Oryctolagus cuniculus: one gene and its partner. The protein of the gene in region 1 purifies or fractionates together with the protein of each later gene. This does not show direct contact. Links are inferred from orthologs where the notes say so. Each region holds a gene or a part of one and is shown in the gene's direction. Other genes may lie near its edges.

Evidence for each region.
Region 2: the proteins of SIRT7 (region 1) and UBTF purify together in Homo sapiens (affinity purification with western blotting; 3 studies listed by BioGRID, with this or other methods). This does not show direct contact. The link is inferred for Oryctolagus cuniculus from reciprocal best matches to the Homo sapiens genes SIRT7 and UBTF.

What each region holds. Positions count from the first base shown.
Region 1 is NC_091448.1:1,004,272-1,012,165, forward strand, and holds the start of SIRT7 (NAD-dependent protein deacetylase sirtuin-7), read left to right. Parts: upstream 1-2,986; 5' UTR 2,987-3,051; coding exon 3,052-3,144; intron 3,145-3,223; coding exon 3,224-3,361; intron 3,362-3,425; coding exon 3,426-3,530; intron 3,531-4,328; coding exon 4,329-4,399; intron 4,400-4,575; coding exon 4,576-4,648; intron 4,649-5,093; coding exon 5,094-5,192; intron 5,193-5,467; coding exon 5,468-5,704; intron 5,705-5,799; coding exon 5,800-5,880; intron 5,881-6,246; coding exon 6,247-6,353; intron 6,354-7,880; coding exon 7,881-7,894. UniProt on the Homo sapiens protein: NAD-dependent protein-lysine deacylase that can act both as a deacetylase or deacylase (desuccinylase, depropionylase, deglutarylase and dedecanoylase), depending on the context. Specifically mediates deacetylation of histone H3 at 'Lys-18' (H3K18Ac).
Region 2 is NC_091448.1:19,044,702-19,051,930, forward strand, and holds part of UBTF (nucleolar transcription factor 1), read left to right. Parts: intron 1-741; coding exon 742-917; intron 918-1,350; coding exon 1,351-1,434; intron 1,435-1,532; coding exon 1,533-1,688; intron 1,689-3,705; coding exon 3,706-3,770; intron 3,771-4,028; coding exon 4,029-4,149; intron 4,150-4,501; coding exon 4,502-4,612; intron 4,613-4,976; coding exon 4,977-5,110; intron 5,111-5,223; coding exon 5,224-5,365; intron 5,366-5,455; coding exon 5,456-5,497; intron 5,498-5,585; coding exon 5,586-5,699; intron 5,700-5,807; coding exon 5,808-5,963; intron 5,964-6,264; coding exon 6,265-6,420; intron 6,421-6,506; coding exon 6,507-6,617; intron 6,618-6,974; coding exon 6,975-7,063; intron 7,064-7,155; coding exon 7,156-7,229. UniProt on the Homo sapiens protein: Recognizes the ribosomal RNA gene promoter and activates transcription mediated by RNA polymerase I (Pol I) through cooperative interactions with the transcription factor SL1/TIF-IB complex.

The sequences.
Region 1 (7,894 bases):
TGTTTGTGTGGTTAGATAGCCCTTTATTTAAAAGAGAGAAGTTCCTTTTACGAAGTTATTAAATTATATGTTTAAAAGTTAAAGAAAAACAAGAGCTGCAGAGTATTTATAAAACTGTCTTTTAAAAAAGTCAGAACATTTGACCATATAAATGGAAAAGGAAGAAAGTATAACAGAAACTTTGCTAGTTTAAAAAAAAAAAAAAAAAAAAAATCCCTTTCTTGTAAACTTATGGACAACTCTTTGTGGCTGTTGGAGTTTAGTTTTTATATACACAGAGTTATCAGACATTATTTATAAAACTTAGTTTAAAAAAAGACAAAAAAAAAAAAAAGGCCGCAGCGCCGCCGCCGGGCCAGCTCTTTGGTATCTTTTGCAATTGTACCGAAAGTGACTTAGCCTTCGCCCTCCCGCTCCCGTCTCTTGCCGGTGCCGTGGTGTCGTCCGTGCCTGGTGAGGTTTTGTGCCGCCGTCAAGTGCTGGTGCTCCTGGTGACCTTTGACCTGTGAGTCCTGTGCGTTCTCCGTGTGCGTTTTTTGGATTTGGTTGTGTTCCTGCTTCTGCTGCGTGCCGGACCTGGGCCGCGCCGGGGCCGCCAGCCTGGCCTCTTCGCTCGTGAGCTGGGGGGAGGGGTCTCCCCCACCGTGTTGCTTCCACACCTCTGGCCCTGGGTGGCGGCATTGCTGGGACCAGGGAGTCACCGTGGGTGCCCCTGGCTGTCTTCCGCCTGGGCTCCAGCCCTGGCCCTGTTCCTGGCCTCCCTGGGGGGCCCGCCCACCACCTCTCCTGGACTGTGCGCAGCGGGCGCTGCTTCCAGGTGGCATGGGTGGGCCCCACCTGGAGCACCCCTAGGGCCTGGGCATCGCCACCAGGGCCAGACAAGGGCTGTGAGCTCGGGGCCGGGTCCTGTCCCTGTTCTCCACCTGTCTGTGCCGGCAGCTCGGGGCCACGGCCCCTCCTCCCACCTCCCTCCAGGGTCTGTGTCTTCCAGGGGTCACGGCTGGACTCTCACAGGTGCTTCTGCCCATTCCAGCTTTCAGTCGAGGCTGCTGGCCTCCCAGGCCTGGTTCAGGAAGCTCCCATGGGCGCGGGGGTGCCCAGAGTGCCACCTGAAGAGGCCGCAGCCCCGTCTGGCCACGTGGGCCTCTGGCCAGGGCCGCCGATATCGTCTCGGGGCAGCCTGGACCCCTGGGAGGCACAGGAGATGAAAAGCTGACCGTTCAGGCTTCACCTGGCAGGCAGAGGCGCCACCCGTGCCGGCCACCCCTGGGTCCCGACAGGCTCCTGTGTGTTGGCTCCAGGGGCTTGGAGGCCCCCCTGCGTAGACCCGAGGTGACCTGCGGAGCGGGGGAGCGCTGGCTGCCACGGTGTCCCTGGGCGTCCCGAGCCTGGGTCTGCTTCTGTCTGGCTGGAGTCCAGACATGGGTGTGGTGTGGGCGTGGCATCCCTGAGCTGAAATCCTGAGCCTTGGAGGAGCAGGGCCTGGCCCCTGGTGTCCCCGGGAGGGGGGGTGAGTGAGGAAGAGGAGCAGGGCAGGGTGAGCTCGCGGGGCCTTGATCCGGCCCCCAGGGCTTCTGGGGTTGGCGAGGCCATGCGCTGGGGTTCCCGTCCCCTCACTCGAGCCCCTCTCCCCTCACCCTGATTTCTCCGCAGTAGATTCTGTGTCCACGCGTGGCTCTGTGTGTCCTTCGGGTCGTGCTGGGTCTGTCTCCCACCGTGAGGGTGTTGTGTTCTCTCTTCTCACCCCCCCCCCCCCGACACGGCGGATGGAGGGCTGCGGCTGAGGCCGGGCCTCCCGAACCTGTCCGCCAAGTGAACCCAAACCTGCGCCTCCCCTCCTGCCTGACGCCGCCCCGGCCCCTCCTGATCCCGGACGGACACGCAGACGTCCCCACGCAGCGTGGCCCGGGCTCCCTGCTGGCTTCAGTGGGTCTGTGCGCGCACCCCTGGCCTCCGTGGTCGGCGTCGGGGGCCACCGCTCTGGGCTGGTGGTCAGGCCCTGTGCCTGCCGCCGCCTCTCTCGAGCGGCGGCTTGGCCAGAGCTCCCGTCCACAGCGGGGCAGCCCGGGCAGCCCGCTGCACACTTCCGCTCTGGGATCCTGTGAGTTATTTTTTAGGCTGTGGTTTGGTGAAAGGAACCAACACATTAACGATTTTCCCCCCCCAGAAGCCACTGAGTGACTCCTCCTGGCACGGGTTCGGCTTCCTGCTGGCTGTCTGGTCTTGGGGCAGGTGGGAGAGCAGAGGCTGTGTCGTCGGTGCCACGCAGGCAGGCGTGTGTGTGTGGGGCTCGGGGCCCCTCCTGCCTCTGGGCTGTGCGCGTGGCACCTGCTGGGCCGGCTGCAGGCTTCCCGCTGCACGCCCGCCGCGAAGCTCTGGCTCTGAGAGCCGGGGTGGCCCTGCGCGTCTGAGCTGGAATGGCAGAGCGCGGCCCCTCCCCTCAGCCCCAGCCCCTGCCCGCCCCTCCTCCCTCCCGTTCAGTTCGCGAGTCCCTGAAGCCTTTAACCAAACGCAGTCGCTGCGGACAGCCTTCTCCCGGTGACCCGACCCCGGGCAGCAGGACAAGGGCTGCCTGCGCGTGCGGGCTGTGCGGGGGCTGTGCGGTTGGTGGTGGCCCCCTGCTTAGGGCCGAAGCCTGCAGAGGTGACCGTGGGGTGCCCTGGGGTCCGCAGGGCGGGTGGGGGGCTGATGCAGAGCTAGGGAAGGGAGGTGCCCAGGCGACCCGCAGTGGGTGTGGGGCGTGCGTGGGAGGGACCTGTCCCCGGGGCCCCGCGCCGTATTTATTGCTAAGTTATTGTCCAGGAGGGGCGGCCCTGGGCCTGGCCGCCGGTATTTATTGCTGTACATAGTGTATGTTTGTGATATATAAGGTTTTCTTTATTTTGTATATGATCAATAAACACCTTTTAAAAAGAGATTGGCAGGTGCTTCCTTGGGGGCGGGGCGGCGGGCGGGGCAGGAAGGGCGGGGCGGGGCGCGCGCGCATGCGCCCCGGGCGGCCGCCGGCGAGGCGGAAGCGGAAGCCGGAAGCGCCGGTCTCCGCGGGGAGCGATGGCAGCCGGGGGTCTGGGCCGCTCGGAGCGCAAGGCGGCGGAGCGGGTGCGGAGGCTGCGGGAGGAGCAGCAGCGGGAGCGCCTCCGCCAGGTAGCCCGCCCGCCCGCGCCGCGCCCCGCGTCCGTGTCCGTGGCGCGCGGGCCGCCTCTCACCGCCCGCCCGCCCGCAGGTGTCCCGCATCCTGCGGAAGGCGGCGGCCGAGCGCAGCGCCGAGGAGAGCCGGCTGCTGGCCGAGAGCGAGGACCTGGTGACCGAGCTGCAGGGCCGGCGCCGGCGGCGGGAGGGGCTGAAGCGGCGGCAGCAGGAGGCAAGTGCGGGGCCGCGCGGCGGGGCCGGGCGGCAGGCGCGGGCTGAGCGGTCGGTGTCCGCAGGTGTGTGATGACCCGGACGAGCTGCGGAGGAAGGTGCGGGAGCTGGCCGCCGCCGTGCGCAACTCCAAGCACTTGGTCGTCTACACGGGCGCGGGGATCAGCACGGTAGGGAGGCGCGCGCGGCCCAGAGCCACACTCGCCCGGGCCGCGCTGGCCCGGAGCGCCGCGGGGCGGGCGTGGGGCGCCCCCTCCTGGGACACTGACCGCGCTGGACGGCGCGACTCGGCCTCCGCGCTGCCGGGTGTGCGGGCAGAGCTGAGCCGCGCCGCGCCGGTTCCGCAGCGGGAGGCGAAGGGCGTGGGGCCGCCGACGGCGGGGCTGGGGCAGGGGGAGCTTTGCTGGACGGGGGCGGCCCGCAGGGGGAGGGGGAGGCACTGCGGGTACCAACGGGCCAGGGCCCAGGGTACTGAGCGCTTCCTGCTGAGCCTCCCGTCTCCACCGCGAGTGGGACAGCCCAGCCCGGCGGTTCTCGAGCCGCGGCCCCGTGGCCTGGCTGGCGCTGTGACCTCAGTGTCGGGCCCCTGGCGCCGGCGGGCACTTCTCGGAGCTCGGGCTGCCTGGGGAGGTGGGGCTCGTGCAGGGGGGGCCTGGCAGTCTTCTGTGTCCTTTGCTGGAAGGGGCGACGTGGGGGGGTGCACAGGTCGTCCGTCATTGTTCAGGTGGGGAAGGGGCCGTTCAGAGCCCTGTGCAGTCCTCCCTCCGTGCCCGAGACACACGGGTCCTTGCGCCGTGCTGTGGCGGCTCTCGGGGCGCGGGGGCCTGGGAGGATAGTGAGGAGGGAAGCCGCACCGGGGTGCAGCTGCCCGGGCCCCGGCCGGTGGGCAGCCTGGCGCCCCCCTGCAGGGTTTCTGCCTCCCGGCAGTGCCGCCGGCCCACTGGGCTTATCTTTTTCCGAGCGCACAGGCAGCCTGCATCCCAGACTACCGGGGCCCCAACGGCGTGTGGACGCTGCTCCAGAAGGGACGGCGCGTCAGGTAGGGGCTCGGCTCGCCGGCCTGCAGGTCCTCACCCCACTTTCCCAGGCGAGCCCCGGCCTGCAGGTCCTCACCCCACTTTCCCAGGCGAGCCCCGGCCTGCAGGTCCTCACCCCACTTTCCCAGGCGAGCCCCCGGCCTGCAGGTCCTCACCCCACTCTCCCTTCCGCCGGCAGCGCTGCCGACCTGAGTGAGGCCGAGCCCACCCTTACTCACATGAGCATCGCCCGACTGCACAAGCAGAAGCTGGTAAGAGCCGGACGGGGCTGGCAGGCCCGGGCGCAGGGGAGCGGCTGCACCCTCTCTGTGGGAGGAGTACACGGCGGCCCCCCAGACAGAACAGCAGCCCCTCCTGGGAGCCGTCCCGTCCAGGGCATCTTGGCCCAGGGTTGCTCACCGCCCCCCCCCCCTCGCTTCACCCCAGGGCCCCCGAGGGCCTCCCGGGCACGGGGAGCCAGCGAGGAGGGGAGGGTCGCCCTCTGCCCAGGCCCTGGAGCCGAGCGTGGATCTGGCGTGGCCACGTCTGCCCCGTGGGAGCCCGAGCTGCAGCCTCACCGGAAGGGCGCAGACGCACGCTCGCCCTCCGGGTGCTCCAGGCCCGGCACTCTGCGGGCTGGGCCTGCCGAGAGCTTGGCTCTCCGAGGTTTCCTGTGGGGTCGGGGCTGTCGCTGGGCTCAGAGGGGCTCCCCTGCAGGTGCAGCACGTGGTGTCGCAGAACTGCGACGGGCTCCACCTGCGGAGCGGGCTGCCGCGCTCGGCCATCTCGGAGCTGCACGGGAACATGTACATCGAGGTGAGCGGGCGCGCGCGCGGGCGGGCGGGCAGACGGGCGGGCGCGCGGGCGGGCGGGCGGGCGCGCGGGCGGGCAGGCAGACGGGCAGACGGGCGGGCGGGCAGGCGGACGGGCGGGCGGGCAGACGGGCGGGCGGGCAGGCGGGCAGGCAGACAGGCAGGCGCGTGGGCGGGCAGACGGGCGGGCGGGCGGGCAGGCAGGCAGACGGGCGGGCCGACGGGCAGACGGGCGGGCGGGCCGGCGCCCCCGCTCACCGGAGCCTGTCGTCCCCCCAGGTCTGCACCTCCTGCGTCCCCAACAGGGAGTACGTGCGCGTGTTTGACGTGACGGAGCGCACCGCCCTCCACCGACACCAGACCGGCCGGGCCTGCCACAAGTGCGGCACCCAGCTCCGCGACACCATCGTGCACTTCGGGGAGCGGGGGACCCTGGGGCAGCCCCTGAACTGGGAGGCAGCCACTGAGGCCGCCAGCAAAGCGGACGCCATCCTGTGTTTGGGGTCCAGCCTGAAGGTAGGCGCCGAGGACCCGGGAGCCCGGGCTGGGGCCACGCCCCTGCTGCGGCCGCGGGCGCGCGCACGTGCCCTGTCTGTCGTCCGTGTGTGCAGGTTCTGAAGAAGTACCCGCGGCTCTGGTGCATGGCCAAGCCCCCTAGCCGGCGGCCCAAGCTCTACATCGTGAACTTGCAGGTAACCGGTGCTCAGGGCGGGGCCTGCTCCAGGGCCTGCGTGGCACACCGGCCCCTGGGCCTGGCCCGGCTTCCTGCCCGGGCACCCCGGCGCGCAGCAGCTGGTGGCTCGTGCTTGAGCCCCTGCCACCTCCAGGCCGTGTTTTGGGATCCTGGTGTTAGCCTGGCCAGACTGTAGGCATTTGGAGAGTGAACCAGCAAATGGAATCTCTCCGGCTCCTCCCTCTCTGCCTTTCAAATAAAAATGAAAATAAATGTCTTAAAAAAAAGCAGCAAGAGTCAGAGACATGTAGCAGGCTCACGTGTCCGGGATGGAGGCCCCTGGGGAGGAGTGGGGCGACTTCCTCACTGCCCTTCCTGCCCACAGTGGACCCCAAAGGACGACGGGGCGGCCCTGAAGCTGCACGGGCGGTGTGATGACGTCATGGGGCTGCTCATGCAGGAGCTGGGCCTGGAGATCCCCCCGTACAGCAGGTGAGTGGGCACCGCCGTGCCGCCCCGCTGCCACCTCTGCGCCCGATGCCTGCAGAAGGGACCCAGCCGGGGCCCGAGGAGCCCCTGTGCGCCTGTGCAGCCCCGCCCTGGCGAGCGTGGAGGGGGGGTGGTCGCCAAGGAGCCCCTGTGGGCCTGTGTAGCCCCGCCCTGGCGAGCGTGGAGCTGGGGGTGGTCGCCGAGGAGCCCCTGTGCAGACCCCGCCCTGGCTAGCGAGGAGCCGGGGGTGGTCGCCGAGGAGCCCCTGTGCAGACCCCGCCCTGGCTAGCGAGGAGCCGGGGGTGGTCGCCGAGGAGCCCCTGTGCAGGCCCCACCCTGGCTAGCGTGGAGCCCCTGTGCCCCTGTGCAGCCCCGCCCTGGCTAGCGTGGAGCCGGGGGTGGTCGCCGAGGAGCCCCTGTGCAGGCCCCACCCTGGCTAGCGTGGAGCCCCTGTGCCCCTGTGCAGCCCCGCCCTGGCTAGCGTGGAGCCGGGGGTGGTCGGCGAGGAGGCCCTGTGCGCCTGTGCAGGTCCCGCCCTGGCTAGCGTGGAGCCCCTGTGGGCCTGTGCAGCCCCGCCCTGGCTAGCGTGGAGCCGGGGGTGGTCGCCGAGGAGCCCCTGTGCGCCTGTGCAGCCCTGCCCTGGCGAGCGTGGAGCTGGGGGTGGTCGCCGAGGAGCCCCTGTGCGCCTGTGCAGCCCCGCCCTGGCTAGCGTGGAGCCGGGGGTGGTCGGCGAGGAGCCCCTGTGCACCTGTGCAGGCCCCGCCCTGGCGAGCGTGGAGCCGGCTGTGCAGGCCCCGCCCTGGCGAGCGTGGAGCCGGGGGTGGGGCGCCCGCCGCCCCAGCTGCTGCCCGCCTGCTCCCAGACCGCCCGGCTGCAGAGGTCCGAGGGGGTGTGGCCGTGGCCGTGGCGTGGTTCGGGAGTGGCGTGTGTGGGGAAGCTTAAGCAAACTGAACGCGGAGCTCGTGATGATTTAGACTCGGTGTGTGTATTGAGCGAAAAGTTTACACTTTTTTTCTCTGTGAATTTCCAGGGTCTTATAGGGGAAATCAGTAACTTCTTTTAATCAAAGGGTTCAAGAAATTAAGGATCCCTTCACCTTCGGGGCCTGGCAATTCTTGTATGTCACGTTCGTGGTGTCTGTCCTGTGGGCCTGCCGTGTGCTGTCGTTTTGTTTCCACATTAACTTAGCTCATTTCTTTTATCAGTGCTTCTCTGTATCTTAAGTTTATAATCTGTGGTTCTGCATCTCCGTCAACACATGATTCCTCACGGTGTAGTGTGTAGGCCACGCCTCCCTAGACAGGCCGGGAAGGGGAGCGGGTCGGTGGGCGCGCCCCCAGCCCTGCAGGCGGGAGGTGGGGCCCAGAGCTGCCGGCGACTCGCCCTGGACGGAGGCGCTGACCGAGCACGCTGAGCCCCGACGAGGCCGGACCTGCGGGCGCCGACGCGCAGGAGGGCGAGGCTGGGGGGCCGGGGAGGGGCGTGCCCCGGGCGCCCGGCCGGCCTGACGCGGCGCCCCCTTCTCGGTAGGTGGCAGGACCCCA
Region 2 (7,229 bases), about 18 Mb from region 1:
GGCTGGTGAAATGGCCTTGCCTCCAGTATTGATTTCCATCTGTGCTGGAGAGACGGCTGTATAGGTTGTCCTACATGCCCACACCTCCTCTTAGTCCTTGTGTATTTAGGGTATCCACCTGGAACTTGGACTTGAACTTGGCAACATTTTATTTTAAAGAACTATTTATTTGAAAGGCAGGGTTACAGAAAGAAAGGGAAGAGAAAGAGAGCTCTTCCATCCACTGGTTTGCTTCCCAGATGGCCACAACAGCCAGTGTCCAGGCACCAGGAGCTTCCATGGGTGGCTGGGGCCCAAACACTTGGGCCATCTTCCTCTGGTTTTCCCAGGCCATTAGCAGGGAGCTGACTCGGAAGTGGAGCAGCCAGGAATCGAACTGACACCCATATGGCATTGCAGGTGGCATCTTTACCCAGCATGCCACAGTAGTTCTCTCCCTCTGATAAGCTCAGTGCTTTCCCACAGGGCCCCAAACTGCAGGAGCTCCATTTACAACCCTCCTGCCCCACAGTGGCAGCCTGGCCCGTTAGGGAATGACGGTAGCCTGGGAAGGTGGACTGAGTCCCTGCCCTCCTCCAGTGTGGCTGCGGGTTTCACAGGGCTTAGCCATGGGCCATGGGCCTGTATCTAGGGGGAAAACCAAGGGCTGGGCTGCTCTGGGGAAGCCTGCTTAAGGACTGGGGAGCAGAATGAGAGGGTGCATGAGCTGGGTGTGATGTCTTCTCTCCTGCTCCTCACCAGACCGCTGGTCCCAGGAAGACATGCTCACTTTGCTGGAATGCATGAAGAACAACCTTCCATCCAATGATAGCTCCAAGTTCAAAACCACCGAGTCGCACATGGACTGGGAAAAAGTAGCATTCAAAGACTTTTCTGGAGACATGTGCAAGCTCAAATGGGTGGAGATTTCTAATGAGGTAACCGGCACCCCCGCCCCCACCCCCAGCATGGGCGTGCGCACACACATGTGCACTTGCTGGTGGCAGAGGTCTATAAACAGGAAGGAACAGGACCGGGAGTGGAGTTCCTGTGCTTGCTGGTAGCTCGCTGCCTGCCCTTGTGCCTTTTGGATGGGGCCGGTTGACAGCACTGGCCTGGAGTTCGCAGTTCTGCCTTCTCTCTGGGTGCCTTAAATGCTGTCCATCCTGGAGTTCTCGTTGTCTGGGATTGAGTGGATAGCGACACTGAGGTCCCCGGCGTGTGCTGACTGCCTGGGCCCCTGCAGCCGGCGTGGGGCTCTGCTCTGCTGATCAGTTCAGTCCAGTGGAGAGCAGAGGGGGTGGGGGCACTCCTGGGTGGGCTTTCCCTCTTGCCAGCTTCTCCTTCCACCCAGCTCCCTCTGTCTTCCAGGTGAGAAAGTTCCGTACATTGACAGAATTGATCCTTGACGCTCAGGAACATGTTAAAAACCCTTACAAGGGCAAAAAACTCAAGGTGAGTGCTTAGGGGGAGGGGCCGAGGGGAGGGGAGGACAGGTCCACAGAACGGGTGGCATCTAACCTGCCTTGTGCCTGTGTCCCTGTTTCCTCCAGAAACACCCAGACTTCCCAAAGAAGCCCCTCACCCCTTACTTCCGCTTCTTCATGGAGAAGCGGGCCAAGTATGCAAAACTCCATCCTGAGATGAGCAACCTGGACCTGACCAAGATTCTGTCCAAGAAATACAAGGAGCTCCCGGAGAAGAAGAAGGTGGGGGGAGGGGGGCTCAGGTCTGGGGAGGGGAAAGGCTGGGAGCGGCTGATATGGTGTGTGGGGGTCAGGTGGGGGCGCGGTAGGCCACCGGCAGAGGGATGCGGGTGCCTTGGTACAGCCAAGTAGGGTCTTGGCTCTCCGGTGGCCAGGCCCACACACGATCAGGCACAAGGCACTGTCACAGACGGAAGCCAGGTTGAGGCAGGGCCTAGACAGTCGGCGGCCTTCTGCTTTCTCCAGCTCTCCTCCCAAATGTGTGCCCTCGCTGTTGGGCCTGCCTAGCAGTTCCTCACCCCCGTGAAATTTCACTCTGTGGGCTCCTTTGATGATTGCCTGACAGGCAGAGAGATTGTTGGGATTTGGCGCTCCAGGAGCTGAGGGCCAGGAGGGTGAAGGGCCTCAGGTCACAGACTTGGAGTCCCGGGCTCCACATGTTAGATGGATGCCTTCCCCACGCACATGTGTTCACCCAAGGATACCTCGTGCTGCTCCCTGCGGAGATGAGGTGATGCCCCAGACCATCAGAGGAAATTAACTTTGACCCAGGCCTCCTAAGCGAGGATGGACACGAGCCCAGAGCTCAGGGGGTCCGTTGCAGAGACAGGTAGCAAAGCATTGGAGGAGCGCCGCAGACTGGACATGAGATGGGGGGGGGGGCGGCGATGGCAGGGGTCTAGACGGCACAGGCAGAGAACTGGGTGAAGGGCGGGGGCGGGAGACAAGAGGCACATTTGCTGGGAGATGACGTAGGCACAAGCCAGCTCAAGATGGTGGCACCAGCCACCACCCTTTTTTCTGGTTCGTATACCCTGGCTGCGGACTCCCATGCCCTTGGTGTTGAACCGAGAGGAGCCAGCTTGGTTGGGTAAAGCCATTCTGCCCCAGCCGAGTGGGAGGACGCTTTGCTGGAGCTGTCACTGAGCCCCTGCTGAGGACGCTGGGCAGCGGACTGTGCACAGCCCCCACTCAGCATGGGAGGGACAGGCCGACGGGCAAATGAGCTGAGCAGTGGGGCTGGGGGTGGGGGGAGGCATTGGACAGAAGAAACGGAGACAGTCTGGGGCCTGGTCTCGTGCCTCTACCACCCATTGGCTGGGTGTGGGGCCTTGGGTACGTCACTTCTCTGGGAGGGGGAACCGGATCAGAGCAGTTCCCAACAGCTCCAGACGGGCTTTTTGCCTGAGGAGGACGGAGCTGGGGCAGAGACGTCCGGGTTCTGCTCCTGGCGCCTGCAGTGCTGCTGTTGTGAAAGGGAGAGACGGTGCCTGGGAGCCAGGACAGGAAAGGTGGGTGAGGAAGGCAAAGAGGGAGTCAGGTGACTGGGAGGGGCGCGAGCTGATAGAAGAACAGAAGAGAAGGCAGGGGCAGGGGGACCCCAGCCGGCCAGCCAGGAGCCTGGAGGAAGGCATGGGAGGCAAGGAAGGTGATGGCTGACAAGGATCGGAAGATGTCCCATATGGGAAGGAATGTGATGTGAAGGCAGCTGCCCCCCCAGGAGTGGGCTGGGGGGGACATGCTGGATTCAGGGGGCACACAGGGGAGGATGTGATTTGCATTGCAGGAATTCACTCTGGGGGGGATCCCCCAGCCCCCCCCCCCCAGGGTTTGGAAGCAGAACTCAGCTGCCGCAGACGGCAAGACAAGGGAGTAACAGGAGCGAAGCCACCTGCCCCTGTGTGGTGCGGGTCCTGTGGTGTCAGGAAGGCGCTGGGGTAGCCCCAGCTGTGCCAGGCCTGTCGTGCGGCCACATAGAGCCACGTCCCGCCTCTGGCAGTGTGACCAGGCCGTGGAGCTGGTGTGTGGGAGAGCCCCATAGCGCCCATGTCTGTGGCTCTAAGCCCACGGGTGTAGTGTGAGGTGCTCGCGGCTCACGGGAAGTCGCGGGCCTCCCTCCCGTCCTCCACAGCACACACTGGGGGCGCAGGAGCTGGCAAGCTGGGCTTGGGGGGCTTTTGTAAAGCTCAGGGTGACACAGGCCTTGGGTCCTGGATGACCCCATCCCTCCTCCCCCCAGATGAAGTATATTCAGGACTTCCAGAGAGAGAAACAGGAGTTCGAGCGAAACCTGGCCCGGTTCAGGTAAGGCAGTGGAGCCCGGAGGAGGGCCGTGGGGCACCGGATGCGGCAAGACAGACTAGCGCCGGCCGGAGCCTCAAGCTGGCGGTTCCTGAGGGTCCCACGGAGACCCTAGCATCCTGCTGCAGGCAGGGACAGGCAGGCAGCCGTGGCCCGCTATGTTGTAGCTGGGAGGCCCCGGGGGGTCGGGCGGCGGGACAGTTAGCTCCCATCTGCCCTGGCAGTGTCCTCCGCTGACCCTCGCTCCCGCGCCCTGGCTAGGGAGGACCACCCTGATCTCATCCAGAATGCCAAGAAGTCGGACATCCCCGAGAAGCCCAAAACCCCCCAGCAGCTGTGGTACACCCACGAGAAGAAAGTGTATCTCAAAGTGCGGCCAGATGTGAGTGGCAGCCGAGGAGGAGCCGGGGAGGTGGGCGCGCGCAGCCTAGGCCCGGGGGAGCCGCGCCAGGTTGGCCGGGCACGGTGCAGGGGAGCAGGAGAGGAGGCCCCTCCCCAGGGGTGGGCTGCATGGACAGGGCCCGGGGCCAGCTGGTGTGCGAGCGTGCGTGTGCGTGTGCGTGTGCGCCTGTCCCCTCGCACCCAGGCGGAATCCCCGCCTCCCCGCCTTCCCCTCCTGGCCTGTGGGGGACACTGACGTGACCTCCTGTGGCCTGAGGGGGCGGGGGCCTCTGCGCCCCCCTCCCCCCCCCACCCCGGCTGCCTGCGTGTGTCTGACGGCTTTTGGTTTGCAGGCCACTACGAAGGAGGTGAAGGACTCCCTGGGGAAGCAGTGGTCTCAGCTCTCGGACAAAAAGAGGCTGAAATGGATTCATAAGGCCCTGGAGCAGCGGAAGGAGTACGAGGTTAGGCTTCCGCTGCGCTCCGCCCCGTCCGGCTCTTCACGAGCCTCTCTGTCCCCGACTCACTCACTCTGTGGCCACCGCACTCTGCGGGGGGGCAGTCGCTCCCCACCCCTCCGTCGAGGGAGGGGCCTTCTGGGCCCCTCGCCTCTGCCCCGACCTCCCCACCCCACCCCCAGCCCCATGAGGTCTCAGGCTAGGGCAGGGCAGGGCACCAGGCCTCCTCGACGGGAGACGGGATGCGGCAGACGCACGGCCACCCCAGCTTCGCTCCCTGCCTGCCCTCCCCAGCGGCTCTCCCCCACCCCCTGCCCCGGCTAACCCCGCCCCCCCGTTGCCCTCCGTCCCCCCCCCACACGCTCTGCAGGAGATTATGCGGGACTATATCCAGAAGCACCCCGAGCTGAACATCAGTGAGGAGGGTATCACCAAGTCCACCCTCACCAAGGCTGAACGCCAGCTCAAGGACAAGTTTGACGGGCGACCCACCAAGCCACCTCCGTGAGCGCTGCTCCCGGGCGGCGGGCGGGCGGGCAGGCAGGCGGGGGCCAGGCCCTGTGGCGGGCACGTAGGTGGCTCACGGGGTGCCGCCTCGCCTCCCGCGATCCCCACAGGAACAGCTACTCGCTGTACTGCGCAGAGCTCATGGCCAGCATGAAGGACGTGCCCAGCACGGAGCGCATGGTGCTGTGCAGCCAGCAGTGGAAGCTGCTGTCGCAGAAGGAGAAGGACGCCTACCACAAGAAGTGCGACCAGGTGAGCCGCGCGCGTGCCGCAGCCCCTGGGGCCTGCGGGCTCTCCGGCGAGGCTGCCCAAGGCTGACCGCGGTTCCCCTTACCTTCCCAGAAAAAGAAAGACTACGAGGTGGAGCTGCTGCGTTTCCTCGAGGTGAGCGTCGGGCTGAGGTCGGGGCGCTGGGCAGAGGCTGCCCTGGGGAGCCCGAGCCCTCACCCCTGCCCTCCCCACTCCGTGCCAGAGCCTGCCCGAGGAGGAGCAGCAGCGGGTCCTGGGCGAGGAGAAGATGCTGAACATCAACAAGAAGCAAGCCACCAGCCCGGCCTCCAAGAAGCCCTCCCAGGAAGGAGGCAAGGTGGGCAGGCTCCCCCGGCTCCCCTCGGCGGGCAGGCAGGTGTCGGGGCTGGGGCAGGGCTCCCCCGTCGGCACCCCGTGGACCCCGACCCTCTCTGCACTTGCACAGGGGGGCTCGGAGAAGCCCAAGCGGCCCGTGTCGGCCATGTTCATCTTCTCCGAGGAGAAGCGGCGGCAGCTGCAAGAGGAGCGGCCCGAGCTCTCGGAGAGCGAGCTGACCCGCCTGCTGGCTCGCATGTGGAACGACCTGTCCGAGAAGAAGAAGGTCAGGCTCGCCCGGGAGCCCAGCGCTGCGCCTCCCCTCGCCCCGTGCGGCCCGCACGTGCGCCCGCGCTCAGCTGGCGGGGCTGGGAGCCCCGCGAGCCGAGCCGGAAGGCGGGAAGCTGTCAGCTGAGGGCTGAGGCTCCCCGGGGAGCAGGCCCGTGGGCGGAGGCTGAGCCCCAGGCGGGAGACAGCTGCTCCCGCCCACGCGGCCGCGGGCCCCGCCCTCCTGCTGCGGGACTGGGCGTCGCGCGCCCCCTGCGGGCGGCGGGGAAGCTGACGCCTGTGCGGTTCCCCTGCTGCAGGCCAAGTACAAGGCGCGCGAGGCGGCGCTGAAGGCGCAGTCGGAGAGGAAGCCCGGGGCCGAGCGCGAGGAGCGGGGCAAGCTGCCCGAGTCGCCCAAGAGAGCCGAGGAGATCTGGCAGCAGAGCGTCATCGGCGACTACCTGGCCCGCTTCAAGGTGGCAGGGCAGTGGGGCAGGGCTCGCAGGGCAGCCTCGGGCCCTTGGGGACCCCTTGCACAGCTCATCGCCCCGTCTGCCCCCAGAACGACCGGGTGAAGGCCTTGAAAGCCATGGAGATGACCTGGAACAACATGGAGAAGAAGGAAAAGCTGATGTGGATTAAGAAGGCGGCCGAAGACCAAAAGCGCTATGAGGTGGGAGTGGGAGGGCGGGATGGGACCACCTCCTGCCTTGGAGGCCAGGGGACCTCCCTCGGGGTAGTCCTTGCTCGTGGGCCTCTGGAGCCTGGAATCCTAGCATGGCTTGTTTGAGCCTGAGCAAACCTCTTCTGTCTCAGTTAAACTGGGGGGGGGCGCGACCCCCCCAGGTGGCTCGTGGGGATACCAAAGCAACTCTGAAAGCACTGACACCTGTCCCAACTGTGTGTTACTAGGAAGCTGCTCTCCAACTTTGCCTCAGTTTCCCCCCCTTGCCTAGCACATAGGAGAGCCTGATGAGGGGGCTGCGGGCATGGGGTGGGGCTGATGTGACCCTCATGGTTTTCTGCACAGAGGGAGCTGAGTGAGATGAGGGCGCCTCCGGCTGCCGCCAACTCTTCCAAGAAGATGAAGTTCCAGGGGGAACCCAAGAAGCCGCCCATGTGAGCGCCCCGCGGCCGCCACCCACCTGGGGCTGGGGAGGGGGCTGCCCTGCGGGGGTCCTGACCCTGCCTGCCCTGCCCGTCGCCCCCAGGAACGGTTACCAGAAGTTCTCCCAGGAGCTGCTGTCCAACGGCGAGCTGAACCACCTGCCACTGAAAGAGCGCA